Cricetulus griseus: one gene and its partners. The protein of the gene in region 3 purifies or fractionates together with the protein of the main gene of each other region. This does not show direct contact. Links are inferred from orthologs where the notes say so. Each region holds a gene or a part of one and is shown on either strand. Other genes may lie near its edges. The genes, in order: Polr3e, Polr3c, Polr1c, DNA-directed RNA polymerase III subunit RPC10, Polr3g, Crcp and Polr1e.

Region 1 (3,991 bases), on a different chromosome or scaffold from region 3:
GTGCATCTGCACTGGCTGCCAAGTGTCACAGATATGGGTCAAACAAGTACCTGCCCTTTAGGCAGCTGTACTTTGTGGCCAACTGAGACAGGACTTCAGGGGGAATCAATGAAACACAGCACATGCAAAAAGAGGCTGTGGCCTAAGAGAGTCTTCAGCTCTAGTTATTCTTTCACGGCTGAGATTCTGCCAGTCTTGGAATCAGGCAGGATCAGGTGCCCTCTCTGCAGGATGACAGAGGCTCCTCCCTCTGGGCACCACACCTGATTGGGTTACCTGCAAAGGTCATCACCTCTTGTTAGCCTCCCAACCAACAGGAGCCAATTCAGTGGCTTTCAAAGTTTCAGCCTATGACTGACAATAATCTTTTCCCAACAATGATGCAGAAGATACATGGAATGCCACAGCTGAAACAGTACTTCATGTAATATGATTGTTACATGCCACACAGTGATGTTTTCTATTTTCTATCCTTGCCTATGCAAAATAAAAATGCTGGTGGCAAGACCCCCAGGCCAAGTTTACATCACTCACTAATACATTTTTTGGTGGTGTTTTTTTATTTTCTGAGACAAGAGTTCTGTAACAGCTCTGGCTGGCCTTGAACTCACAGAGATCCTCCTGCCTCTGCCTCCCAAGTGCTGGGATTTAAGGCGTATATCACCACGGCCCAGCTCACTAAGTCTTAACCTGCAATCTTCAAAGTCAACAATCCAATAAGCCTCCTGAGTCAGCTGTGGTGGCCCAGGCCTGCGATACCAGCCCTAGGGAGGCTTAGGGAGGAAATTTAAGGCTTAGGAGAGAAATTTAAGGGCATCCTAGGCTATTATATAGCAAGGCCTCATCTGAAAAAAAAAAATAATAATAATAATAGACACAAAACAAACAAAAAAAGCTAAAAAAAAAAAAAAAAAAAAAAAAGCTTTCGTAGGGCCATTCTTTCCTATCTCTCCAGAGGACCTCCCGTCTCTGTAGTAACTACTCACATTGCTCTCTTCTTGAAACCCTTCAACTGTACCATAAAACAAAACCCAAACTCCCTTTCATGGGCCTGTAAGCCCTTACACGATCTTGCCAGGTTCCACATAACCATCTCCTCAGGGACTGGTAATCTATCACTGAGCCTCCAACAGGCCAATCCCCACGCATCCCGAGGACCTCTGCACAAGAATCCCAGGTCATTTTCAGGATGCTCATTTTCCTTAAATGTAAGCATTGCCCCTCCCTCCAGGACTAGACAGGTTTAGTGAAAACCCAATTTGAATAGCTGCCTCCAACTCTTTCCACCATTAACACAATCCCTTATTTCCTGAGTGGTCCTAACCTGGAACTTCTCTATTTGCTGCTCAGGTGTTGGCTATCCTCTGCACTAGACTTTGAACTCTACGAAGGCTTCTCTATGCTTCATATTCCTCAACCATCAAGTAGACATAATAATTATACTTCACCGTTGTTATAGGGTCATTACTTGTAAAATTAAAAAAAAAAAAATTCACAGCCCTTCTCCTAAACCCTAATGCTGTCTGGCATCAATATACTACCAAAAATATTCATTCTCATTAGCTGTGCAATTCAAAATTTATAGTGCCCAACTTATGATTTGCCCAAGGGCACAGCCCCAGGGAACAGTATAATCAAGAAATCCGTCTAGCAGGTGTCAATGAGTCTTGATTTTATTCTTAACCACTATGCTGCACACATCTTTGATAAAAGGCAGTATGGTGTAGTGGGTAAGAGGTCGGACTCCCGTGCGAAACCTTACAGGTTCAAATCCCACCTCTGCGCAACGTACCAGCTGACAGAAAGCATGAATTGCATAACCTTGGGTCCTTTCCTATTTTCATCCCTAAGCCGGCAATAAAAAAAAAAAAAAAGCACCGGCTTCAAAGAGAAAAGTGGAACATCCATGAATGAATGACTGTTGCTACGTGGCAACATGTTTTCTTCAAATAGGATGAAACGAAGACAGCCACAAATGAAAAGCAGGAGATGTCACCCATCTTACCCTCTTGTAACAGGAATCACGTTATCCCCATTTCGCAGATACCTTTTCGCTCCGAAACCCAGAAACCCTAAAGGCAATTACAACTGCAGGACGACCTGGTTTAAGCACCGCCACCCCCCGTGACTGAAGAGTCCCAGGGTCTGAGGAGCAGTCGCCTTTTGACTCTGCTTAAGCACAGATCAATCAATGAGGCGCCCCGGGCCCGGCACCACCAGCAAGGGTTGACCCGGTTCAGCTAGGACGCAGACCCCGGCCCATGCGGGCGGCCCTGACGTCCCATAGCTTTCTCCATGTCGCCGGTGCTCAGGCGCCCTTCCCACACCTCCGAGAGCCGCAAGCTACCGGGCACCAGTGCTCTCGCAGGTGCGGCTCCGGAGCCAGGCCCGGGCGGGGCAGCGCGGCCGAGGCCTGAGTCAGCGCGGGCCCCACGGTCGTCGCCTCCCCGACGTCCAGCCGTGCGGAGCGACCGGGAAAGCGAGGCGGCTGCCCGTGCGCCCCGCCCGGGTCCCGGGAGGCCGCGGCCCCTCAGCACGCAGCGGCGCGGGCCTCTCCGGCCTACTCCGCAGAGAGGCCCAGACCTCCGCGCGAGTGCGACGGCTGCGGCCGGAACCCCGGGGCTGCCGAGTCGGCACTCACCTCTCAGCCAGGGCCGCGCGCGAGCGGCGGCAACGGCCCAGGGACCCGCGGGCTGCAGAGACGGTGGCGGCCGGGTCTCCTATTAGGCAGCGGCCATGTTGCTGCTGGAGAAACTCCGGCGGACACGTGGGGGGAGCGGGGCCGGCCCTCGCGCTTCCTCTTACCCACAATGCCCCGCCCCAGAGCGCGCGGGCCCGCCCCTTCGGCGAGCTACTCGTGGTGCAGAGAACGAGAACCAACTGCAGAGGTCGCCGCTGGGGCGGCAAAAAGTAGCTCAGGGTTAAGGTAGGAAAAAACACTGATCCTGGCAGCGGTGGGATTCGAACCCACGCCCCCGAAGAGACTGGAGCCTTAATCCAGCGCCTTAGACCGCTCGGCCACGCTACCCAGCTGCTCATCTGGCCTTCTAAGAAGCTACTTAATGTTCTAACACATGCATACATTTTTTTTGTTTGTTTCTTATAATTTTTCGGGGGTTGTATTTGTGTTTTATCTACTCCTGATAGAAATTGTCACAAACAATATTGTTAAAACGCCAACTATTAAAATTAAATTATTTATATCCGAGCTTGTTCCAAATAAGCTTTAAAGCAAAAAGCAGTTTAAATCGCGTTCTGATGGTTAACGCGTCCAGTTAAACCACGCCGTCACCTACACAACCCGAATTAGGTGTCTTGGAGACTGATCCTGGCAGTAACTCTCACCCCAGCTCTGAGAAGCGAACCATGACCCCACATCTGCACAGTTCTGTCTGAAAAGTCACGTGTTTAAATTTTTAGTACGCAAACAATATTAAAACTTCGCATATAATCTTCGTAATATTCAACATAATAATTCTTTAACCTTTGACTTGCTTTAGTTTCCTCGTAACCACCATTATCGGCTGATTATACATCCTTTCGGATCTTTCGCTGTCGGTTTCTATGGATGTGTATCTCCATGGAAAAACAGTTTTGTTCATATTGTGTATGGGTTGGTATATAAATATTTATTAACATACTAACGCATAGAGAGCTGGCTAGTTTTTTCACCAGGCTTTTCATTTTTCTTTTGTTTTTACCATTTGTAAGTATCTATGCATGTTGATGTACACATACAGGCTTTTACATTTATTTTATTTATTTGTTTATAGGGGCGGCATGTTGTGGAGGTCAGAGTACAGACTTGCTGGAGTATATTCTCTCTTCCCACCATGTGGGGGCGGCTTAGATTGTCTGCCTTGCAGGCAAGTGTCTTTACTCGCTGAAACCAGCCCCATACGTTAAAAGACTGAAAAAGACACAGTGAAAAAAGTCACCCATATTCCCACCACCTAGAATTAAACTCATTCCTGCATATACTTTTGCACAT
Region 2 (3,500 bases), about 200 Mb from region 3:
TGGGAGTATGTGTGCTATAGCATGGGTGTGGAGGTCAGAGGACAACTTCAGGGGTCAATCCTCGAATTCTATCTTGGCTTGAGTCAGGGTATCTTTGCTTCTTTATATAGCAGGATAGCTGGCCTGTGAGCTTCTGGAAACTCTAGGTCTTGTCTCCTACCTCGCCTTAGGAACACCTAGATTATAGTTGTCTGCTACCACAACTAGCTCTAAGTAGGTTCTAGGGACTAGAACTTAGTTCCTCATGCTTGTGCAGCAATTGCTTTACCCACTGAATTACTGCCCCAGCTCTTAGCCATAATTTTGAGATTTACTTATTTATTTTTCAAAGATAGGGACTCCTTAAGTAGTAGGCTAGCCTTGAATTTGCAGCAATCCTCCTGTGTCAGCCTCTTTAGTGCTGGGATTACAAGGCATGCACCACCACAACTGGCTTATGTTCTTTAGCATCTTTATAGGGGTGCTGATAGGGTATTATAACAGTTCAGGCTTAAATGCATCTTTCTAAACTTAATGCCTCACCACTAGTCCTCATAGGTCTATGTGTTCCCGCCATACTGAAAATCTTGAACTTTATCTAGGTTCTCTCTTTTCATTTGTTTGATGTTTTTTTTTTTTTTTCTGTTTTTTTTTGAGGAGGGGGAGGGGCAAGGATAACCTAGAACTTCTGATTCTCTTGCCTGTACCTTCTGAGTGCTGGGATTATAGTTGTGCACCACCACTTATGGTTTGTTTGAGATAGGGTCTCACTATGTAGCTCTGGCTGTCCTGGAACTCACTATGTAGACCAGATTGGCCTCTGACTCACAAAGATCTGTTAGTCTCTGCCTTCTAAGCGTTTCGATTAAAGACATGGGTTATCACACTGGGTATTACTTCTGGTTTTATTTGGTACTGGGGAATCAAACCCAAGGCCTCATGCATGCCAGGCAAGCTATCTACCAACTGGGCTACACCCCTGGCCAAAGTCTCTCTTTCTCTCTCTCTTTTCAAGACAGAGTTTCTCTGTGTAGCCTTGGCTGTCCTGGGACTTGCTCTGTAGACTAGGTTGGCCTTGAATTCATAGAGATCTGCCTGCCTCTGCGTACCCAGTGCTGGGGCTAAAGGGATGCAAAAACACACCCAGCTCTACTCCCTCCTTTGTATAAATCAGTACCATTATTCAGTGAAACAACTTAAGCCTCAGAAGGGAATGAAACATTCCTTCTACAAAGCCCCTCCCCTCTCAGGAGTTCTCAATGCTCCTTAGTAAAAAGAGGGCCTGTGAGAAGAGGGCAGAGATGGTGTGGTAGCATTGTTTCCATTGGTCTATTCCTGACGAACACTTACTGAAGTTCATAATCCTACTTCTTCTTAGTCAGGAGCACTGAGGTTCTGTTGGAACTTGTTATCTGAGGGCGATCCCTGGACTGCTAATCAGGAAGCCCCATTACCTCTTTGTTATCTGTGTGTTTTGGTTTCTTGGCCTTGGGCTCTCCAGAAGCATCTTCGTCAGATGATCTCCTCCTCTTACCTTTTCCTGACAAATAAAATATTGAACAACTAGACTATATATCATATGATGACAGGAAATAAAGCCCAAATACATTTGTAGCTGCCTCAAGTTAAGAGTTGGTTAGGAGACTGAGGATATCATCTAAAATTCAGTATGTTTAAAAAAATCCAGTCATGAAGTTGAGTTCCAGGACAGCTGGAGCTACATAGTGAGAACCTTACTTGGAAAAAAAAAAAAACAGAACAAAACAAATAAAAACCCACCACAAAAACAAAAAAGCCAACCAAAAGAAAAGAAAATTCTGGGGCTGGAGAGACAGATGGCTCAGTGGTTAAGAGCACTGGCTGCTCTTCCAGAGGACCCAGGCTCAATTCCCAGCACCCACATAGCAGCTCATAATTGTCTGTAACCTCTGTTTCGGGGGATCAGACACCCTCACACAGACATACATGCAAGTAAAACACCAATGCACATAAAATAAAAATAAATTATATATATATATATATAAAAAAAGAAAATCCATAGTCTTTGATCTCAAACTGCTTCTCCTCCTATGCTTCCTTTCAGTGAATGGTACCATCGTGCTCCCATGGGTGCAAATCAGACACACAGATGTCACTCTTGACACTTATCTTCTTACTGCTCCTATATCTACTTTTTCACTAGTCTGTCTCTATTTACCTTTGCCCTGTCCTTTCAGCCTTTATTAGACAATTTACAATGTAAATCAGATCATGTCATTTCCTGCTTAAAACCAGAGTAGTCTCCCTTTGCTCTTAGGTTAAAGACCAGGCATTCTACACGGCCTTGTTTACCTCGTCCCTCCACTCTCTAGCCTTTTCTCAAGCTTCTCTGAACTTTGCTCACCTTGCTTCTACACTGACCTTTCACTTTCTCCAATGCTCTTATTTCTTCTTATTATTACACACTAGTTTTAAAAATACCCATCTTCTATCGCCTTACTGGTAGGTCCTACTTCTTCATCAAGATCCAGATCAAGTTGGGTGGTGGTGGCGCACGCCTTTAATCCTAGCACTCAGGAGGCAGAGGCAGGCTGTGAGTTCGAAGCCAGCCTGGTCTAGAGAGATACACAGAGAAGCCCTATACCCTGTCTTGAAGGAAAAAAAAAAAAAAAAAAAGATCCAGATCAAATTGGACTTTCTCAGAAAAACATAAGCTGTTACCCATTGCACAAACCCATTCCTCCATACCTGGCTTCTCCATAGTTCTTATCACAGTATGTGACATATCTATGTGACTGCTATCTTGGGAATGGATCATGAGTTTTCCATTATTATGTACTACAACGACTTTCTCCATAGTCCTTAACACAAGTGTGTGACATACCTATATGACTGGTATCTTCTGGGAAGGGATCATGGGTTTTCACATTATTACGTACTACAATAACTGGCACACACCAAGTAACTGGTAAACAATCAGGTATTCATTCACCTAACAATCAGTGAAGAAGAATCCAGAATTAGGGCAAATGGTAGTTCCAGGATGAAAATTCCTTACCTATCAAGCTCAGTTTAGGAACTAGGTACATGTCCTTTTCATTAATGACAAGGGTTGGGGCAGGTGGTGGTGGCCCAGGGTCAGAATCGCCAGTGGCAGGAACCAGGGGACAGCGCTGTACGAAGTGAGTATCTGCCAGTCGCACAAATGCATTTGATACCTCAGCATAGTCCATGGTCTTGCCATCTGTATAACAGGGGGAGAGAGGCAGGTGAGATGGCCTAAGAAGATGGAGAAGCCAGCCAATCTGTGCTTTTTCTAAGAGCTGTAGATCCAGTACTGACCCTCCATGGTCTCTGTGAGTCGATCTGCTACTTTCTTCACAACAGCTGACATTGTCATTTTGCCATTCAACAGGAGCTCTTCAACAATCAGCTCTCCAGTGTCACTGTACAGCGTTTTGGTAGTATAGATGTACCGAGGATACCTAAGCATTCGCAATACCCGGCTACACTGGGCTTCATACTCCACAACACTGCGTTTA
Region 3 (3,948 bases):
GATGTGTTATTATAAACCAGAACCTTTTCCACTGCCATTGTTGGCACCTGTTCAAAAAAGCAGAATCATCCAACTGCAACACCAACTGATCTCCCTACCTGGAAATAAGAGACCCACACGTCTTCTTTTACCTCAGCTAACAGAATTCTCCGGAAAGCATTAGCAATGGCAGCATCAATTCCCACCATGTCGAACTCCAGTGTATTTTCATCCATATGAACAACATCCACACGGAAATTCTAGAGGGATAGAGAAAAAACTGATGGAACACCTGTTTCTCTTGTGTAATTCAAGCCTCCCTCTGTGATTACTCCCACCCTGGCAATGTCCCTCCATGTATGTCCACCCTCTCTCATCCTAAAGCCTTCCTGTGACCAGATGATCACTAGACTTTTGTCTTCAGCCCTGTTCTTGAGTTTTGTAAGAAGCCTGGCTGGTTTTCTTTCTTTTTTAAATTAAAAAATAAGGGGGGGTCTCCCTACCTTGCCCTAGCATTTCTGGAACTATCTATGTAAACCACAATGGCCTCGAACTCACAGGAATACTTACCTATCTTCTATGGACTAGGATCAAAGGTGTACATCACTAAGACCCTAAGCAAAGCCGGGCATTGGTGGTGCACACCTTTAATCCCAGCACTGGGCGCGCGCGCGTGGGGGGGAGGGGGACACAGGCAGATCTCTGTGAGTTCCAGGCCAGCCTTGTCTACAGATGGAGTGCCAGGATAGGCTCCAAAGCTACATCCTGTCTCAACCCCCGCCCTCTCCCCAAAAAAGACCCTAGGCAATATGGCTCCACAAAAACAACCCACAGAAGCTGCTACACTGAAGAGCAGAACGTCCCACACTGCTTAGACAAGTTAGTCCTGCATTTGTTTTTATTTTTCAATCCCTCTTTTTTCAAATTCTACTCCCTTGACTTTTGAACACCAATTTAGTTCTCTTATCTGATATTCTAAATTCTTCCTCTCACCCTGTAAATGTTACTTTCTCCCAGGTTCAAATCTCTTGGCTGACCTCAATCACACTCCTGGCTTAAGCAACTACTCAGCAACTCCCCAAACTTGGGTTCATTTTGATCTCACTTCAGGCATCATTCACTTGACCTACAGACTTCACATACAGGAATTTGAACATATTATCACTCTTTTTCTCCTGTTTATCAACTGACACAATCAGCCATCAAGACACTTCCCTAATGGAGCTGACGAGATGGCTCAGCAGTTAAGAGCATTTGACTGCTCTTACAGAAGAACTGGGTTTGGCCGGGCGTTGGGTGGCGCACGCCTTTAATCCCAGCACTCGGGAGGCAGAGGCAGGAGGATCTCTGTGAGTTCGAGACCAGCCTGGTCTACAAGAGCTACTTCCAGGACAGCCTCCAAAGCCACAGAGAAACCCTGTCTCGAAAAACAGAAGAAAAAAAAAGAAAAAAGAAAAAGAACTGGGTTTGGTTCCCAGCACCCACACTGTGGTTCATAACCATGCATAACTCCAGTTCTGGGGACCTAACTAGACCTCCCTGGGTCACCAGTCACACAAATGCACAAATATACATGCAGGTAAACACATAACCCCCCCCCCAAAAAAAAAACTCCTTAAATTCCCCACATCACAAGGCCCTTTTTCACACACACACACACACACCCCTCACCAAAGCTATATGGTACATAGCTGTTAGTTCTCCTTTTGCTCCATTTCCACTACCAGTGGAATTTATTCATTCCCTCCCAGCTATGAAGGTTACAAAATTAGATCAGTCTACTGAAAAATTCTCTTTAAGCCAGGCGAGGTAGCTCATGCTATTAATCTCAGCGCTCAGGAGGCAGAAAGGCTAGTTTCATGACAGCCAGGGATACCCAGAGAAACCCTGTCTCGAAAAAAAAAAAACAACAGAGCTCTCTATTAACTTGCAGAGCTTAAGATAACACCCCAATCAGGGACGCGAGTTTAAATTTCCAGCACTCAACACTGTAACTGACAACAGGATCCGACACCCTCACATAGATTCGGACAAAACACCAATGTACATAAAATACAAATAAATTTTCAAAGAGAAAAAGATAGACCCCGGTCTTGTCTACCACTCGGGCCAATGTATTGACATCTGGCGATAATGAACTGCTGGAGCAGGCTCTGCGCAAACAAGCGTTTGCAACAATGCTCCAATTAGGCCTGCACGGCCTAACTGTTGGCCAGTCTTCCTTCACTGACCCGAGTCTCCGTCTCTCCGACGGACCGGATTAAGTCACCTACGGGATTCCTCTCCCGCACCCCGGCCGTGCTCGCCGCTCTTGTGTTTCACCGGGATCCCTTGATCACGTGGGCCTTCACCCCACCCGGGCGGCCTGGCCACCCAGCACCCAGCACATGGATGGCTCAGCACACGTTTTTGGAACGCGGCGAGCGTGAGCCGTCTGGTCCCCGGGCCGCCGGGACACCTCCCGCGCACCCACCTTCTCGAAGCGGTCCTGGTCCCAGGCGTCGTCGTAACCCGAGTAGTTACCGGGGAAGTCGGTGGTGTGGACCTAGAGCCAACAGATGTGTTCAGCGGGGCGGTGAGGACAAGCCGCAAGCCAGGTCCCCTCCCCTCCTCCTCCCCCATCCCGCCCCCGACCCTCCCGAGTTCCGCTCCGAGCTCACGTTGCGAACCCCGAACTCTCCCAGAACCACGCGCGTCCGCATCTCCTCCACGGCCTGGGCCGCCGCCATCGTCCACCACCCGCCTCGAGACGCCTCCGGTGCGCGCAGGCGTACTAGGGGCCCGTTGCCGTCTCCCTGGCAACGCCCCGCCTCCTGAACTTATAAATGTCGCGATATCCTGCCCCGCCCCGTCCACGTCCTTCACTTCCGGACGTCAATTGGGGCCAAACATCCGGGTTTCTCCTGTTTGCATTCCGGCTGATACTACCTCGCCCTCTCTCTTTCCTGGACGTTTCCTCCTTCTCTCCGGCCCGGGTCTCACGCTGGTCCCACGCCCGCGAGCTTCAGCGACGGAAAGCCTCGAGGGACATGGCGACTCCCGCGGCGCCGGCCAGCGGCGTCCGAAACGGAGCTGGCCCGGAGTGGGGAGGCTTCGAAGAAAACATCCAGGTATGGAGCGGTGTCCCGGCTGCCGGCAGCCCCCGGGCTGGCCGCCGTCCCCTCTCGCGGCCTGGAAGTCGGCTCCATTGCAAGTGGTGGCCGCTGAGTCTCCCACGCCCAGGTCTGTAGCGCTTGTGCTGAGGAGGAAGGGCCAGGCCGAGGCTGCAGCGGGCCTCGGGTCTCCGTGGCTGGGCGGCCTGTCTGGGTCAGGCAGGTGCAGGGCTAGAGGGTAGGATTGATTCCCTGGAGCCCCTAAAGGTGGCCTGTGTGCACATAGGCTTGCTTGAAGGTGGGTGGCGGCAGGTCGGCCCCGGTGCAGCACTTCGAAGCTTTGAGGGGGAAGGTAGGAAAACAACGTGAATTGAAGATGAGTAGTGTGTTTTCTGAACCACAAAAGTGTGGCGACAAGAGTTGTGCCAGCAGTGACAAGGAGGAGTTTGGCACGATGGGTAGCAATTCCAATGTCCTCATCAGTGGGAGAGCAAAGCCTCAAACCGTGCGATGAGCAGAGAGCAGAAGGGTGCAACAGAAGGCCCCGCTCTCTAGCAGCCTTTGTCTTCACAGGGCGGGGGCTCGGCCGTGATTGACATGGAGAACATGGATGACACGTCAGGCTCCAGCTTCGAGGACATGGGGGAGCTGCATCAGCGCCTGCGTGAGGAAGAAGTGGATGCCGACGCAGCTGCTGCAGAAGAGGAGGATGGCGAGTTTCTGGGCATGAAAGGCTTTAAGGGACAGCTGAGCCGACAGGTGGCTGATCAGGTAAGCAGATGGGAAAGTGGACCCATGTGTGTCCCAAGGTGACGTAGGTTTTCCAGGGAGAACCACACAGAAATCTGGCAAAGGCTGTGTAACGTTAACAGTCTAG
Region 4 (4,243 bases), on a different chromosome or scaffold from region 3:
CTACACAGCAAGATTCTATCTCAAAAATAAGCAAAAGCCTTGAAAGTGGAAAATGAGTAGAGGCTTTTGTTTTATTTTGAGATAGGGGATGGAATGAGGAGATGGGGGGGGGAATGAAGGACAGGATGGAGAGGGAATTGGGATTGGTATGTAAAATAAGATTTTTTTATTGTTTTTAATTTAATAAACATTTTTAAAAATAAAAAAAGACTAGGGCTAATCATTTTTACAATATTGGTATTTGAAAATACATACAACAGAATTCTCTTGAGAAGCCTGTACCCACTAGAGCATGGACAACTGTCCTTTTACACCTCTCGCCTCCTCTCAACAACCATCAATATTTAAGTTTAAATCAACATTGAAACTTTTTTGTAATAAACCCCAAATTTGTTTCAAGAAGAGAATATGTACCAGATTTTTACTTATACTTGCCCATATCTGTCCTGAGAATCTAAATGAAACAACAGAGCAGGTATCAATATGGTGATTTTCCTTTCAGTATATTTAATCCTTGAAAGAAATCTGCTTTAAAAAAATTTAATATGGCCAGGTGGTGGTGCACATGCCTTTAAACCTATCACATGGCAGGCAGGCAAATGGATCTCTGAGTTCGAGGCCAGCATGGTCTACAGAGAGAGTTCCAGGACACCCAGGGCTACACAGAGAAACCCTGTCTCAAAACACAAAATCAAACAAACAAAAAGGTCTTAATGCCTTGCTTAGAGTTTAAAGAATGACTATATTGTGACTACAACATATCAAAATATTTCCTGTATTGGCAAACACAAGCTATTTGTCATTATTGTTTATATTTTCTTAAATTCTTTTATAACTACTGGTTGAGGGGGTGGGAGTTGGTAAACAACTTTTCATGAATCAGCTGTCTCCTTATACTATCTGGGCTCCAAGTATCAAACTCAGGTTAACAGGTTTGGAAACAAGTGCTTTTACCTGCTGAGCCATCTTACTGGTCCTAACAATATACAGGGTTGCATTATAATAAATAACAATAAATTTATTATTATTAAGTATAATAATAAGTAATAATAAATAGGGTTGAGTCACTGGCTCTGTAATGGGAAAATTCTCACCTGCAGTAGAGTCCACATTCTCCCAGGCAGCTGCTCCACCAAGCACATCATCCACTTCTTTCAGCTTTGGATACTTTCGGTTTGTTACCTAACAAAAACAAGTCATCAGATTTTAAGAAATCATATAGTTTTAAAAGCAGGCCACCAAACTATAACTTTCCTCCAGCATTTCCTCTACTCAGTAAATGGATACAAAATTTATCTTCTTCAAAGAGCGACAAGAGCCATTAAAATGTAGGGGTTTTGTGACTGAGATATTCCCAAAACAGCACAGTTTCAATGTCAGAGACCCCTAGAAACTGGAGGAAACAGCAGACAGTGCAGGAAGACAGCTGAGTTAAACCATGCTCTTCTCTCATACCCCTAATAACCCAACATGAAAGACAGACAAAAGCCTAATAGCACCATTTATCTGGGTATCCCAGCATTCCCAGGGACACATTTCGTTGCTTTAGTCATCCTTCAATTTTCAAAAATTATGTCACCATTCAATCTTATCACATATCCAGACTCCAAACTCCTACCATACAGCTCTTAAGTGCAAACATTAAAAATGAGGTATCACCAAGGCCTGATGATACACATCTGAAATCACAGAACTCAGGACACTGAGTTAAGGAGGAACAAGAATGGAAAGGTAGACAATACAAAGGGCTGTAAAAGCAGCTTCTCTGGGTTCCAACACAAGCACCACACACACAAAGCAGCAACAATGACATATATTAGAAGACGATGAATCCTGGGAAAAGAAAAAGGAATGAGAATAAACTGGAAGAGCTGGGTTTGGTTTCTTCGTTTACTTAATTTTCATATACATATGCTATGCAGCCCAGGTGAGCCTTGAACTTAATCTCCTGCCACAGCCTCTCCACGTGATGGAATTATAGGCATGTACCAACAGCCAAAAGGGAGAGGGAGAGGGAGAGAGATAAAGGAAAAGGAAGAGAGAAACAGACAGACATACCCACACCGAGGGAGGGAGGGAGGGAGGAGAGAGAGAGAGAGAGAGAGAGAGAGAGAGAGAGAGAGAGAGAGAGAGAGAGAGAGAGAGAGCGCCAAATGGCTCGTTGGGAAAGAAAACTCGGGCGAAAGGAACGTGAAGGAGCTAACAGTACTGCGTGCACTTTTGGAGGTAAGATCCTCCAGAATAGCGACAGGATCTGGGAGCAAGAAGAGCCACAAAAAGAACATTAAGATTTGAGATCAGAGAAGGTGATAAGCGTATTGGAGCCTGGCGTGCGGAGGACAGCTGTAGGTTTTAAAGGCGTGGTTCAGCCTAGAGGTAAAACGGAAATCTCGCAACCTTTTGGGTGTCACAAAACCGGCAGCAGAGAGCCAGAGGCAGAAATCTCTGAAGTGACCAGAAGAGTGGCTTCGATTTGGCCGGAGCGATGCCACTGGATTACCAACTACTGAACTTGAGGTACTTCCACAGGTGAGCAAAAAAAAAAACTACCGCCCGCAGGAAGTCTGAGCGCACCGACAGTGGAGGAGGCGCTCGCCTCTGGGACTCACCTTGCGTGTGATATTATGCACGTAGGGGCAAGTGTTGCAGGCGAAACGATGGCAACGCTGTCCCTCCTCCACAATTAGTCCGTTTCCACAGCTCGGACAGAAAAGCAACATTGCTGCAGATCCAACAAGTAAGCTCTTACTGTCTAAAGCTTCCGCGGCCGCAGACGCCCAATAGAAGCGGCCACTGGCACGTACCCAGAAGGCACTGCGGCAGGCAGCTCTCACATGCCATTGGTCAACGCAGATAGTCCTTCCCACCCTCCAATAGTGCGCTGTCTGCCTTCCCAGCTTTCCTGTAATGCCTGCGCGTGCGCACGGATCTCCCTGACGCAAGCACAGGCTTAAATGGCCCGAGAGATGGGGCTGGCAGCTGACACGCCTGACCTACCCGGGAATAAGGTTCGGAGGGAGGTACAGGTGATGAGAAGACAGTGCCGCACTCCGAGCCATGGACGTGTTCAGGAAGGTCTTGTCACAGTGGCGCAGGACCGGCTGCTTCGCATCTTCTGAGCCGGGACTGACAGGCAGAGACTAACCTAATGTCCCAGGGACTTTAATTCAGCCCCTAGTGTTGATACTACCTCTCTGCTGCTGTCTGCCTAACGTATGAATACCTGTCTATCTGTACTTACCATCTTTCCAATCTGACCATTTCTTCACCTGGTCCCAGTTCTGCCATTTCACTTATTTCACTTATGCCATTTCACTAGATTCAATTCTACAGATCAACTCTGACCTACAATACCAGCAGTTCCTCTCCACAGACCTCCATCTGGTTCTTTTGTCTCATTCCTATAGACTCCTTTACGTTTCCCAGTTCTGCCTTCTCAGACCTCTTTTAAATGTCTTACCTCCTTAATCCTCTGCAAGAATTCTATAACCTACACAGGGAGGGGTTGGGGTGACTCCTGTGGGTTTTTTGTTTTTGTTTTGTTTTATTAACTTTAACAAGTTAGTTATCTAGAAGAGGAATCCCAATTGGGAAAATGTCTCTATCAGACTTATAAGTAGGTAACTCAATGGGGCATTTTCTTGAATGCAAATTGATAGAAGTGGACGCAGCCCGTTGTGGGCGGTGCCACCACTAAGCCGAAGGTCATGCGTGAAATAGGAAAGCACTACGAAGGGGCTAAATGGTTCAGCTTAAGAGCACTTGGCCTTCTCCTGTAATTGGTGACTGCGCTAATTGTCACCAGAGAGCATTCATCCAGTAACTGATGGAAGCAGATGCAGAGATCCACAGTCAGGGAGGAGGAATTGTACGAGTAAGAGGGAGTCAAGATCGTAACTTGGGGAACCCAGAAACAGCTGACCTGAGATAGTGGGAGCTAGGGAGCCTGCATCAGACCGATTTAGGCCCACTGCATGTGGGTGACAGTTGTTTAGCTTGCCCTGTTTGTGAAGCCCCTAGTAGTGGGATCAGGACCTGTCCCTGGCGCATGAGCTGGCTTTTTGGAACCTGTTCCCGATGCTGGGATGCCTCACCCAGCCTTGATGCAGGGAGAGAAGCTTGGTCCTGCCTCAACTTAATATATCATGCTTTGTTGACGCCCATGGGAAGTTCGCGGCTTTCTGAACCAAGGAGTGGTGGATGGGAGGTGGGAGGAGCGGGAAGAGAGGAAGGAGGGGAACTG
Region 5 (4,241 bases), on a different chromosome or scaffold from region 3:
CCATATTTATTATATGTGATCTCTCTGTGTGTCTCTGTCTGCCTGTCTGTCTGTCTCTCTCCAAGGTCTCACTATGCAGCCTTGGCTGAACTAAGAATCAGAGTAAATTAAATCTCCCATTTTATAGAAGAGTTAAAAGGTTCTGAAATGTTATCTGATAGTCTTAATTCCTATCAAAGGCAGGTATAGATTGGGCCTCAGGAAATACTTTCAATGTTCTATCTATATTTTCTTTTGGGAAGCACCTGTCTAAACTAGTTGACAACCCTTTTTAATCCCAATGATGCAGAATCAGTGAGGGAAATTAGTAACTGCAAAAAGTTCTGAATTTTAAGATTTTATTTGTAATGTTTGTGAGTATGTGTACTTGAATGTAGGTGCCTGTGGGGGTCAGAATATGATGTCAGATCTCCTAGAGCTGGAGTTACTGGTGGTTGTGAGCCACTTGGTGTGGAAGCTAGGAACTGAACTCAGATCCTCAACAAGAGTAGCATGAGCTTGTCACTGCTAAGCCATTTTTCCAGCCCTCTCAAAATCTGAATTTTAAAATACAATTATCAACAAAGCAACACCGTCCCTTCCACCTCAGGATGCCACCTCGAAACTGCTATTCAGAGGTTGTTCCTGGATGTCTGAAAATGGGCATTATTCAACTCTAACTACAATCTCCTGGGAGAGCATGAGATAATCTCAGCAGTTCTCCCCAGATCTAAACTATCAAGAGTTATGATTGTGACTTACATATACTGTCCTCACGTCGTACACATTAAAACCTTACACATTTAACTAGACAAATGTCTGAGTTGCTGGAAGCCAGGGGAGGCCTGGAAATCAGGCCACAGTTATGAATGACTTGCAACTTGTTTTAGTCAAGGGCCTGACTCACTCCACTCTGGTCACCTAGCAGAAGACTTCTAGCTGGGTGTTCTTTGCCGCTCCCTTCCTTTATTTCTGCTTTCGCTCAGGCCTTCTATCATCTCCATCTGATCCTCCAAAAACAGACTAGACTTATGTTCAGGTTCCGAGTTTCAGTTCCCTCTGTAGTCATTTTAACAGAGGGCAAGTGTTTACAATGTGCCATTCGCATCTTTCAAACAAATGTAGGACACATAACTTCTGCCTCTCACCAAGTAACTGTTGGTTCCTGTGTGTCTCCCCAGGGAGGGTCTTCCATCACCCACTGGAGTCTTCATTGAGTACCCTCTGTGTCAAATCATCCTCTGTGTTGGAAATACAGAAGGGAACAAAATAACACCTGTGCTCAGATGGAGTTCACAGTCATGTATGGGAAACAGGCAAAGTCTACTTTAGAGAAACGCCAGAGACTGGGAGGTGATGTGTAATAAAAGCAGGGAACAGCCCAGAAACACCAGCTGAAGAAGTCCTGCCTCACTCAGCAATACCTGGGCGTAAATCTAACAACGATGAGAAGCAGAGTCAGGCTGAAAAGCAGAAAAAGAGAACCACTGTGAACTGTAGCCTGGCACAAGCCAAATAATTCTCGGCAAATTATTGCTGAGCTCATGACCAAGAAATGATAATGAGCCATTTTACCTTGGAGCCATGGCTCCCTTCTGCAGGGAAAACATCAAGTACAGAGGGCAGTGCAATCACTCAGCAGTCTCTCCCTTTTTACCCACATAGCATCCAATTTTTTAATTCATGTTGTCTTGTATTACAAGTATTTGTGTACAGGCATTAGCTTCCTCAGATTCTTGAGAACTCAAATCAGACTTTTTTTTTTAAAAAAAATATAGTTTTGTGTTCATCACACATCATTTAGTGCTAAGAATGATCCCAATTGCATAATTGAATAACTTGTACTTAGATGAGATTAGCAAAATACTCACAGGGGCAGTAACCTGCTCGAACTCCCACCAGAGACTTTAGGAATAGAGGAAGAATACACCTCTCCCTCCAGGAAAGTCTATTAGGAGATGCTGCAGTAAGCATTTTCCTAATTATCCTTTATAATGCTATCCCGTGGGTCTCTAATTTTTGACGGTTAGTCAACTTCTCAAGGGCATTTCTGAATCCTAAATAGATACAGCAATAGCTAGGGCTTGGGGTGAGAGCACAGGGATTTGATGTTAACAGTGGGGGTGATTTTAGTGGCTGGGTAGGCCACACCCAGTCATTATCCACTTTTCCTGTCCCCCTCAAAGTGCCCCGCCTTTCTTTAGTTAAGCTCTGGAAACTTTCTCAACGAGCAGAGAACCGAACAAAACATGACGGAAATTTAGAATTGTTTAAAGAAAAATCCTATTAGCAACTCCTCTCCCCACAATCCAGGGTGCCAAGAGTAAAGAAATCAGAAGCGGAATGGTATGCCCATAGCAGCAATCTGTCGCCAAACCAGTGCGTGAACGAACTGTAGGATCTCCGGATTGGCTAAGTCTTCTGTAGTATCAGCAAGAGCATAAACTCCCTTCTATCTCACTAAGAACACTCCCAGGAGGGGGCTGGAAGATCTAACTACCAAGACGTCAAAGGATTTGGAAGGCAGCATTAGGCTTTGAAGAGGTAAGGCTACCTCCCAAGTCACTCCAAAGGTCTGATGAATTTTGGCTCCCGATGCGGGTCCACCACGTTCTCCACGTGCCCCATCAACTCCCTTCTACCCTCTTCAACTCCAACCCAATTCGGAACAGCTTCCTGTTACCTGCTCACAACGTCTCGAGGCTTGTGCACTTTGTTCAGCCGAGGTGGCCGGGGTCCCTGCAGCCGCACCAGCCAGGAGCCGCGGATTCCACCTCCCCAGCAGCGATCACTGTCCTGCACGCGGCCACCGCGCTCAGCTAGCCCACTAGGAGCCCCGCCCACTGCCGGCGAGGCCACGCCCCCGGCACCGAGCTTTTTAGCCCTTGGCAGGCGCCGTAGTCTGCTTCCAACTGGCTCGGCCTCACTCTGGGCTCCAGCGGTGAGTGAGCTGCGCCTGCTGCCCGTGCGGGGGCGGTCCTGGCGCTTCCCACGCATCATCCCTAGCCTCTGCAGCAGAACCCCCGAGCAGGGCAGTGTCGCCCCATATCTCCGCCCTGCTGCAGCGGCCTGCGTTACTGCCACGGTGCTGCGGCTGCAGAAGCTGCGGCAGCCTGGGGTGCAGCCTTTGCGCTGTGCGGACCGGGAGCAGGAGATCTGGGCAGCGTCACCGCGGCCTATCCGCGCTCCCTTCCGCATCCCCGCCCCTCTTTCGCGCCTCCTCCGGGGCTGAGTGGAGTACGCCGCACACTGCGGCAGCTCTGGGTCCGGACTGCCCCTGGGAGGCACACCCACCTCTCCCGGCCGCACCCCTGCGCAGCAGCATGTCCGCGCTTGAGTGGTACGCCCACAAGTCTCTGGGCGATGGCATCTTCTGGATTCAAGAGCGCTTCTACGAGTCAGGCAACCGCGCCAACATCTGGCTGGTGCGCGGCTCCGAGCAAGACGTGGTGATCGACACGGGCCTGGGGCTGCGCAGCCTCCCGGAGTACCTCTACTCCTCCGGCCTCTTGCAGGACTGCGGGGCTAAGGAGGATGCCGGGCGCCGGCCACTGCTGGCTGTGGCCACTCACGTGCACTTCGATCACTCCGGCGGGCTCTACCAGTTCGACCAGGTGGCTGTGCACCGCGCTGAGGCCGAGGCCCTGGCTCGAGGGGACAACTTTGAGACCGTGACCTGGCTCTCTGACAGCGAGGTGGTGCGAGCCCCCAGCCCTGGCTGGAGGGCCAGGCAGTTCCGAGTGCAGGCAGTGCAGCCGACCCTCATTCTGCAGGATGGTAATGGGCCCCCGCGGGCGTGCGCTGTCGTGGAGGGAGGGGTTTGGGGAGCGTGTGCAGCATGTTGCAGACCTCCATGGCCACCTTGGCATTGTTGGGGTACAGTGTGTCTCACCCTTTGCTGCGTGAAAGCCGGTTTGAGCAGAGCCAAGGCCCTGGCAGCCTTCTCTGCCCAGAGAAGCGCTCTGCAACTGTGTGGCTGTCTCTAAAAAGCTGGCACCACCCCCAATCAATTCCTTGTGTCGGCTACAGTAGTAACACTGCAGAGACTTGTGACTGGGGTTTTCCTTTCTTCCCCTAGCATGAGTCGAACATTTCCAGCTTTTGTAACGAGTAGGCTTTTAAGGAATGGCACCTTGAGAAAAGTGTTATGCTCTGTGCTTTGAGAACTGCTGCTTCATCTGCGTGCTCACCGCGGAGTGACTATGAGTCCCACCTGTAGGGTTAGAAAACTGGAGAGCTGTGGCTCCAGCCATTTCATCCAC
Region 6 (3,965 bases), on a different chromosome or scaffold from region 3:
CTGTACATATTCACTGTGTTCCCTTTTAAAAGGGCCCTGCCTACCTCCCATCCTTTCTCTCTTTCTTTCCCTCCCTCTCTGTCTGTTTCCCCCTCCCCCATTCTTCTCTCTCTCCCTCTTTCCTTTTTATCCCTTTCCTTTCTCCTCTCAACTGCTGCCCCTGTCTCGGAAGCCAATCTCCTCCTTCCCTTTCCCCTATAAAAAACCCCTCTGCTTGAACCCTGTGCATGGCATCTTTCTCTCGTGCACCGCTTTTCTTAAATTACAACACTCCTAAGACGAATAAAACCCTGGCCCCATCCCCAGCACTGCATAAACAGGGTATGGTGTAATACACCAGTAAACTCAGCAATGGCAAAGTAAAAGCAGGAGGATCAGAAGCTCAAGGCCACCCTTGAATGGGTAGTAAGTTCAAGGTTAAGCTAAGCCTTGGGTACATGAGACCCTACTACAAGGGGTGGGGGGTGCTGGAAAACAAGAAAAGGACTGTCTGATGACTGGTAGGGAATATGCTAGATTTTGTTTTAAACAATTTGACAGAAAATGAGGGACAAAAAAAGAAAAAAAGAAACATTTTGAGGAACCACCATCATATAAATGAATGTATACCAAGAATGGGAACAGAAAGTGTCCCAAGAAGATGAAGCACTAAGATGCTCAATAACATTGAGACCAGCAAGGGAAGAGGAGTAACAAAAGAACTCCCAGCAGTAGGATGGAGAGGGAAATTCAGGGCCATGTCAGAGAGCTGAGCATTGCCAGGGTGTCTGACAATAGCTACTCAGATGGAGAAAGCTGAACCAGACAGCCTGAGCTACACAGTGAGACCCCCCCCATACAAATACTAATCTGATGTGGCAGCTTGAGAGGTGGAGACATAGAACTTAAGATCATCCTCTGCTGAATACCAAGATCAAAGCCTGTCTGAGCTACTTATGACTCTGTATTAAAAAGTCTGACAAACTGTAGTATATATTACAAGTGAACAGAAGGTAAAGAACAATGAATGATAACACAATTTAGAGCTGGGCGTCGGTGGCACACACCTTTAATCCCAGCACTGGGGGGGGGGGAGGCAGAGGCAGACGGATCTCTGTGAGTTCGAGGCCAGCCTGGTCTCCAGAGCGAGTGCCAGGATAGGCTCCAAAGATACACAGAGAAACCCTGTCTCAAACCACCCCCACAAAAAAAAAAAAAACCCCACAATTTAGGTATGTCATCCAGGGATATATAAAGTCCACAGGTAGAATAGATGCAAAAACTTACATTTGCACATCAAAAAAGAAAAAAAAAAACAAAAAAAAAGAAGAAAAAAAACAGTATGGAGAAAAAACTGTCAAGATGGCTTTGCTGGTGGGAGAGTAACTGCCTAGAATGCTCAGGATGCTACCATTCCAAACACCACTATATGATGATGGGCACGTGGCTTAGTGCTAAAGCACTTGCCTAGCACCCTAGTGTCCATCCCCAGCACCACAAAACAATTAACAGTACACTGGAAGGCAGAGGCAGGCGGATCTCTGTGGTCTACAAGAGCTAGTTCCAGGACAGCCTCCAAAGCCACAGAGAAACCCTGTCTCAAGAGAAAAACAAAGAAAAGAAGAGAAAAGAAAAGAAAAGAAAATGAGGAGTTGTTGTTGTTGTAAAAAGCCAGAGAGTGGGCTGGAGAGATGGCTCAATGGTTAAGAGCACTGACTTTTTCCAGAGGTCCTGAGTTCAATTCCCAGCAACCACATGGTGGCTCACAACCATCCCTTATGAGATCTGGTGCGCTGATATACATGGAAGCAGAATGTTGTATACATAATAAATAAAATAAAATCTTAAAAAAAAAAAAAAAGCCTGAGAGTAAACCGATAGCAGAATTTTTGAACGGGTTCTGTTCAGGTTTCTGCCTTGAGTTCCTGCCCTGACTTCCCTCAATGATGAACTGTGTCCTGAAGTGTAAGATGTAATAAATAAACCCTGTCAGGCGGTAGTCGTGCACGCCTTTAATCCCAGCACTCAGGGAGGCAAAGGCAGATGGATCTCTGAGAGTTCGAAGCTAGCCTGGTCTACAGAGCGAGTGCCAAGACAGCCAGAGATACACAGAGAAACCCTGTCTCCAAAAAACCAAAAGATGTAATAAACTTCTACCCCGAAGTTCCTTGTTTGGTCATGGTGTTTTTCACACAACAGAAAGGAAACTAGCACACCTTTGTATGTTCACAGCCCTGGGTATCAGTATCACAAATAACGACGGTGGTAACGGCTAGGGTTGCAGCCTTTGCCTGGCATGTGAGAAGCCCTGGGTACCAACTCCAGCATTACAAAATGATGATGATGGGGGGGGGGGCAGACGACTGCGGAGCGCGTGCAAGGTCTTGAGTTTCATACCCAGAACCAGGAGGAAAAACAAACAAGCAAACAAAACTCATTGCTCCTACACTCCCCTCCCTCAAAGAACGTGGGTTGCGGGACCAGCAGGATCCCTCCCCAGCCGCCCCACCTCCAGATACTTCCGGCCCGTCCACTCCGCCCTCCCGCCCTGGTAGCGGGTGCGGAGGGTCGACCACCAGCCGTCTCCGGCCCCCAGATGAGTCGGGTTGCCCTCGGACATGCGGCTTACACTTCCATGTCGCAGCCGCTTCGTCCTGCGCAGCCGCTGGAAGGGAACGGCCTCCCGTCGTGCCACCGCCGCGGAGCTCTCGGCCTGCGTGTGCGCCGCAAGCCACTCTGGGACGCCGTGTTGCATGCCGGGATCGCTGTAGGGAACGCCGGGCTCCTTGCGTCGTACGGATTTCGAATTTCAGCCTCTGGAGGCAAAATTTAAACTTTTTTATGGTCTAGGTTTTGTTAGGGTTTTAATAAGATAAGGTTCCTGTCTTGGACGCTTTAAAAATCTCCAAGCCAGTCAGTTCGCAGCTGATATCTCAGCACTAGAGAGATTGAAGCAGGGGGATTGCCACGAGTTCCTGGCTAGCCTGTGCTACAGAGTGGGTTTCAAGCTATCTTGGGCTATTGCAGACCACTGTGTAAAAAAACAAAAAACAGGGCTGGAGAGATGGCTCAGAGGTTAAGAGCACCTTTGGCTGCTCTTCCAAAGGTCCTGAGTTCAATTCCCAGCAACCACATGGTGGCCCACAACCATCCGTTATGAGATCTGGTGCCCTCTTCTGATGTGCAGATATATATGGAAGCAGAATGTTGTATACATAATAAATAAATAAAATCTTGTTTAAAAAAAACGCACAGGCACACACACACATACCAATCAACCAACCAAAACCCCCAGAAGCCAGCCAGGCATGGTGGCGCACGCCTCTAATTCCAGCAAGGGAAAAAAGGGAAGGTAGAGGCTAGCACATTTTTGTGAGACAACCTAGGCCACACAAGAAACAGAGAGAAAGGGAGAGGGAGGGAGAGAGAAAGAGAGACACCTGGAGAGATGGCATAGCAGTTAAGAGTACTTCCATTTCTAGCAAAGGATCAGGAATTGATTCCCAGCACCAACGTGGTGGCTCACAACAACCTGTAACTCCAATTCCAGAGGATCCAAGGCCTTTTATATAGCCCCCGCCAGGCACACATGTGAAGTATATACATACACACAGACACTCACAGATACACATAAAATAAATCTTTGGCTGGGTGCTGGTGGCACATGCCTTAAATCCCAGCACTCAGGAGGCAGAGGCAGGTGGATCACTGTGAGTTCGAGGCCGGCCTGGTCTACAGAGCGAGTACCAGGATAGGCTCCAAAGCTACACAGAGAAACCTTGTCTCGAAAAACCAAAAAAATAAAATAAAACTTTGAAAAAAGAAGAAAGGGGGTTGGTGGCGCATGCCTTTAATCCCAGCACTCAGGAGGCAGAGGCAGGTGGATCTCTGTGAGTTCGAAGCCAGCCTGATCTCCAGAGGGAGTGCCAGGATAGGCTCCAAAGCTACACAGAGAAACCCTGTCTTGAAAAACCAAAAAGAAAAAA
Region 7 (4,207 bases), on a different chromosome or scaffold from region 3:
TTCATGAATATTCCCACCTATCACCTAGCTTTTCACTCATTTGTTCAATATTCATTTGTTTTACATTTACATACACCTGTACACACTGTGTAAGCTCTCTTCTTCCACTAGGTGGGTCCTGGGAAGACCATCAAGCTTGATGGCAAGTGTCTTTATCCACTGAGCTATCTTGCCAGCATTCTCATTGAACATTTATTGAAAATCTCCATTTGCACAGGACCTCCCAGGAGTTGGAGGTGCAGAAGTTAAAGGAAAGAAATAAATGTACTGGCTGGCGTGGTACATGTCTATAATCTCAGCACCGGGCAGAAGGATGAGGAGTTGATAGTCACCCTCAGGTGGGAATTTGAAGACAGACTGAGCCTAAAGAGAATAAGGGACCTCAGCCCCTTTCCCCTTCATACTTGGCCACCAAATGAGCAGTTTTGTTTTACTACACACTACTTCTTGGGAACTAGCTAGCAACTAACTAACTATCTAACTAACTAAATAAATAATTTAAAATGAAATGTGTTTCTAATTAGCTCCAAAATTAGTTATTAAGTTCCAATAAGCTTAGTGTGGAAAAGACTGACAGAAGAAGCTGATGAATAATTAGAGAATGAAGCCCTCTTTCATCTCTTTCCTTTTCCTTTCTGAAAACAATCAATTGAAAACACTTGGGTAGGATCAAAGAAAGTAACCTTCCAGTCAGAGTTGTGACAGCTAAAAGCAAAGCATAGTGTGTGTGTGTGTGTGTGTGTGTGTCAGAGTTGTGACAGCTAAAAGCAAAGCATAGTGTGTGAGTGTGTGTGTGTGTGTGTGTGTGTGTGTGTGTGTGTGTGTGTGTGTGAATGTGCTTGTGGAGACCATGTGTGTTCAGGTGACAAGGAGGCCAGAAAAGGAAATAGGATCTCCAGTTACCTGAGCTGGAGCTGCCCTGCCTAACAAGATTGTTGGGAACTGAACCCGAGGGAGAGCAACAAGTGCTCTTAACCACTGAGCCATCTCTCCAGCCTCAGGGAACACGCCTATCCTGGCACTCGCTCTGGAGACCAGGCTGGCCTCAAACCCACAGAGCCTCCTGCCTCTGCCTCCCGAGTGCCTCCACCAACGCACGGCCTGAGTATTCTAAATTTCAACTTGGCCTTATCAGGTCTTGGAAAGGTGAGAAGAAAGACAGTCCTCTACCTAGATGATGATAAGTCAGAGGCAGCTCCACGCGAAACCGAGGCTGAAGACGCTGTGTTTCGGCGTTTGGCTAAACCTTAGGGCGTAAGCGGGAGCACTAAGCCAATCAGGTACTGCACCTCGAAGAGGCCCTCCTACCAGGGGCGTGGCCACCGCGGAAAGAGCCAAGAGTGGTCCGGGACGAAGCTCCACCACGCTAGAGGCGTGGTTTCGCGTTTTGCGTGTTCTGGGCAGGTCTCAGAGTGTCACTTCCGGTGTATGCGTCCGCGTGTGAGCCGGAGAGCTCATGGCTACACTGGAGTCTTCCGGGCTGGACAGCCAGAGTAGAGACATGGAGACAGAGGTGCAACAGAGTGCAAGGTGGCTGTACTGTGGGGAGCCTGACGACAGGCAGAAAGCTGTGCTGGGTAAAGACTGCGGGACCGGAGCGGAGTTTCGCTCAGCCCTATCCCCTTCTATCTGGGTACCGCGTAGCCCTCCTGCCCACTGCCTGGAGCTGGGACAGAGCCTCCGCTATCCTCCCTTTCCTCTGTCGTGACTTCACATGCGAGGACACTTCTCAGGGCAGTGCCCAGGACTTGGAGATTTCACCAGGTCTCTCATTCGCCCATTTTCCCCTCCACGGAGCAGAGTTCCCTTTCTTCTGCTAGTTAATGACATTCCCTCCGTCATTTTCTGCACAGAGGCCACCCCCTCCCCATCTCCTTTTTTTTAGTACTGGACCAGGACTTCCTTCAGTCTCCCTAAAAGTGGGACATGAGCTCTCTTGCCTTCGCCCTGGGTTCCCAACCACAGTGTAGTTCTAAGCCACCCCACTCTGCTGGTCTTGCCCTCATCTCATTCTTGGGTTACACTTACAGTCCAATTCTCCAATGGGAAGCTGCAGAATCCAGGCAACATGCGCTTCACCTTGTACAACAGCAACGACTTGGTAAACCCCAGGCTGAAGAATCAGCGGATCCTGGTAAGGGCTGCAGGTACAGGTAGTCTGGGCTCTGCAGGGCTCAGAAGGCCCTTGGTGTGGGCAGATATGGGAGGGCCTGAGGGGAGAAAAGGAGGAAAGCAAATGGGACTGTGGCTTCACCAAGGTGCAAGATTTTGGGTGAAACGATGACTTTTCACATATTTGGGAAAAAGGATTTCTCCGTGTAGCTCTAGCTATACTGGAACTCACTGAGTAGACATAGCTGGCTGACCTCCAATTCAGAGATCCGCCTGCCCCTGCCTCCACAGTGCTGGGATTAAGGGTGTGGGCCACCACCGCCCAGTTTGAAGCTTTTTAATTTCATGCAATCCCAGGTGGCGCCCCCCCCCAGAACTTTATCACTTTGAAGCTTCCTTATGGTATTTGGGGTCCCCCAGAGACACCCTAGATTCCTGTAGATATGATGGGGTAGGTCACCTGGAGAATATCTAGGGCTGGTCATTTTGGTCCTGGATTCTAAGACTTCTATACACGTCAAAAGGAGGCCATGCCCAGTGCTGATTGTAAATTGGACACTCCTTTGTTTTTCAGGCAGCAGAAACAGACAGGCTGTCCTATGTTGGAAACAATTTTGGGACTGGCGCCCTCAAATGCAACACTCTTTGCAGGTAATGGACAACTGGGCAGTGACAAAGGTGCTAGGAGGGTTGTAGTAGTGACAGAGACAACACTATCTTCAGTCTTCATTTTGGAGGTAGTTGAGATCTGCAGGTTTGCTAAGACTTTGTGTTTCTAGACTCACAAATTCCATATACTGTTGTGTAGACACCCTTAGAAAGGAAAAGATGGCTTGCGTTTGTCGAGTTCCTAAAGACCTCATTATGACATTATGTATGACTGTCCTATCCCAAAAGACAGCTATGTCTGCTGATTTAGAATGTGTGATCATCAGGTCAAAGCTTGCCTCAAGTTTGCCTTGGGACAAGAGGATTTTGTATCTTCAAGGCCTCTGGGTTGGAACAAAGCAGCCCTCCAGCACTGTCAGAGTGAATGACTTTGGCAACTTTGCTCTTCGCTCACCTCTGGTGTCTTCTGTGTCACAGCATCATCCAGCCTGAAGAATTTATGCATGCCAAAATTCTGTTTAATTTTAGATTCTTATTACCTCAAAAGGGTTTCCATTAACAGCAGTGGCTTTAAATTTGTTTTGTTTTGTTTTGTTTTGTTTTGTTTTCTGAGACAGGGTTTCTCTGTGGCTTTGGAGGCTGTCTGGAACTAGCTCTTGTAGACCTGGCTGGTCTCGAACTCAAGAGATCCTCCTGCCTCTGCCTCCCAAGTGCTGGGACTTTAAATGTGATTGGTTATCAGAACCATCTGGTGGCTTTTTCAGTCCACAACCATTTTATGTCTCCTTCCTCTTCATCACCTACTGTTTCCTCTCCGTGCAGGGATTATTGTTACATGTGAGCAAGTGGATGCCTTTTTCTGGCAGAAAGAAGCTAGGGATATGTGAATAGGAAAAAGAGAGGATTGTGTAAATAATAACCTTTTGGTTAAACTACTATTGTATCATTACTTTTTTCCTCAGACACTTTGTGGGAATTCTGAATAAGACCTCTGGGCAGATGGAAGTATATGATGCTGAGTTGTTCAACATGCAGCCACTGTTTGCTGGTAGGTTCCGGAAATGAATACTCTGTTAAATGAATATTCAGTTAAATACATCGTTTGGGTTTGTTGGATTAGTTCATTTTTGTTTTCTAGAAGGCATTTGTAATTTTTTTCTAAATGGCTTCCTCCACATATACCTTTTTGAGAGAAGGTCTCATGTAGACCCTTGAATTTTCTGGGTAGCTGAAGATGACGTTGGATTTCTGGTCCTCCTGCCATCAACTTGAGAGTGCTGTGTATGGTGAGAGGTTTATATGGTAAAGGGGTGTGAACTCAGAACTTGGTGTCTATTTGGCAAACACAGCTTATCCTCAACCATAATAGGATGCCTTCTTGCCGAGTGTTCTCATTTTTCTTTTTTCTTTTTAATTTGAAAAGGTATATGGATATATAACCTTTTGTGGGGCGGGGCGGGGGGGGGGGGGGGTTGAGACAGGATTT

The links.
Region 1: the proteins of Polr1c (region 3) and Polr3e purify together in Homo sapiens (affinity purification with mass spectrometry; 5 studies listed by BioGRID and IntAct, counting the BioPlex papers as one, with this or other methods). This does not show direct contact. The link is inferred for Cricetulus griseus from reciprocal best matches to the Homo sapiens genes POLR1C and POLR3E.
Region 2: the proteins of Polr1c (region 3) and Polr3c purify together in Homo sapiens (affinity purification with mass spectrometry; 5 studies listed by BioGRID and IntAct, counting the BioPlex papers as one, with this or other methods). This does not show direct contact. The link is inferred for Cricetulus griseus from reciprocal best matches to the Homo sapiens genes POLR1C and POLR3C.
Region 4: the proteins of Polr1c (region 3) and DNA-directed RNA polymerase III subunit RPC10 purify together in Homo sapiens (affinity purification with mass spectrometry; 4 studies listed by BioGRID and IntAct, counting the BioPlex papers as one, with this or other methods). This does not show direct contact. The link is inferred for Cricetulus griseus from reciprocal best matches to the Homo sapiens genes POLR1C and POLR3K.
Region 5: the proteins of Polr1c (region 3) and Polr3g purify together in Homo sapiens (affinity purification with mass spectrometry; 4 studies listed by BioGRID and IntAct, counting the BioPlex papers as one, with this or other methods). This does not show direct contact. The link is inferred for Cricetulus griseus from reciprocal best matches to the Homo sapiens genes POLR1C and POLR3G.
Region 6: the proteins of Polr1c (region 3) and Crcp purify together in Homo sapiens (affinity purification with mass spectrometry; 5 studies listed by BioGRID and IntAct, counting the BioPlex papers as one, with this or other methods). This does not show direct contact. The link is inferred for Cricetulus griseus from reciprocal best matches to the Homo sapiens genes POLR1C and CRCP.
Region 7: the proteins of Polr1c (region 3) and Polr1e purify together in Homo sapiens (affinity purification with mass spectrometry; 5 studies listed by BioGRID and IntAct, counting the BioPlex papers as one, with this or other methods). This does not show direct contact. The link is inferred for Cricetulus griseus from reciprocal best matches to the Homo sapiens genes POLR1C and POLR1E.

The regions. Positions count from the first base shown.
Region 1 is NC_048596.1:79,735,656-79,739,646, forward strand, and holds the start of Polr3e (DNA-directed RNA polymerase III subunit RPC5), read right to left. Parts: upstream 2,801-3,991; 5' UTR 2,642-2,800; intron 1-2,641. UniProt on the Homo sapiens protein: DNA-dependent RNA polymerase catalyzes the transcription of DNA into RNA using the four ribonucleoside triphosphates as substrates.
Region 2 is NW_023276806.1:59,774,902-59,778,401, reverse strand, and holds part of Polr3c (DNA-directed RNA polymerase III subunit RPC3), read right to left. Parts: coding exon 3,301-3,500; intron 3,203-3,300; coding exon 3,017-3,202; intron 1,520-3,016; coding exon 1,434-1,519; intron 1-1,433. UniProt on the Homo sapiens protein: DNA-dependent RNA polymerase catalyzes the transcription of DNA into RNA using the four ribonucleoside triphosphates as substrates.
Region 3 is NW_023276806.1:255,712,608-255,716,555, forward strand, and holds the start of Polr1c (DNA-directed RNA polymerases I and III subunit RPAC1), read right to left. Parts: upstream 2,801-3,948; 5' UTR 2,709-2,800; coding exon 2,640-2,708; intron 2,525-2,639; coding exon 2,453-2,524; intron 240-2,452; coding exon 132-239; intron 48-131; coding exon 1-47. Other genes in the region: protein YIPF3, read left to right, coding at 3,009-3,089, 3,645-3,842. UniProt on the Homo sapiens protein: DNA-dependent RNA polymerase catalyzes the transcription of DNA into RNA using the four ribonucleoside triphosphates as substrates.
Region 4 is NC_048599.1:60,488-64,730, forward strand, and holds the start of DNA-directed RNA polymerase III subunit RPC10, read right to left. Parts: upstream 2,801-4,243; 5' UTR 2,721-2,800; coding exon 2,610-2,720; intron 1,183-2,609; coding exon 1,095-1,182; intron 1-1,094. UniProt on the Homo sapiens protein: Core component of RNA polymerase III (Pol III) which synthesizes small non-coding RNAs using the four ribonucleoside triphosphates as substrates. Can mediate Pol I proofreading of the nascent RNA transcript.
Region 5 is NC_048595.1:302,159,060-302,163,300, forward strand, and holds the start of Polr3g (DNA-directed RNA polymerase III subunit RPC7), read right to left. Parts: upstream 2,801-4,241; 5' UTR 2,663-2,800; intron 1,221-2,662; exon of another isoform or gene 1,128-1,220; intron 1-1,127. Other genes in the region: Mblac2 (metallo-beta-lactamase domain-containing protein 2), read left to right, coding at 3,303-3,756. UniProt on the Homo sapiens protein: DNA-dependent RNA polymerase catalyzes the transcription of DNA into RNA using the four ribonucleoside triphosphates as substrates.
Region 6 is NC_048597.1:109,299,946-109,303,910, reverse strand, and holds the start of Crcp (DNA-directed RNA polymerase III subunit RPC9), read right to left. Parts: upstream 2,801-3,965; 5' UTR 2,617-2,800; coding exon 2,609-2,616; intron 1-2,608. UniProt on the Homo sapiens protein: DNA-dependent RNA polymerase catalyzes the transcription of DNA into RNA using the four ribonucleoside triphosphates as substrates.
Region 7 is NC_048595.1:98,430,430-98,434,636, reverse strand, and holds the start of Polr1e (DNA-directed RNA polymerase I subunit RPA49), read left to right. Parts: upstream 1-1,407; 5' UTR 1,408-1,456; coding exon 1,457-1,577; intron 1,578-2,030; coding exon 2,031-2,134; intron 2,135-2,686; coding exon 2,687-2,763; intron 2,764-3,683; coding exon 3,684-3,769; intron 3,770-4,207. UniProt on the Homo sapiens protein: Component of RNA polymerase I (Pol I), a DNA-dependent RNA polymerase which synthesizes ribosomal RNA precursors using the four ribonucleoside triphosphates as substrates.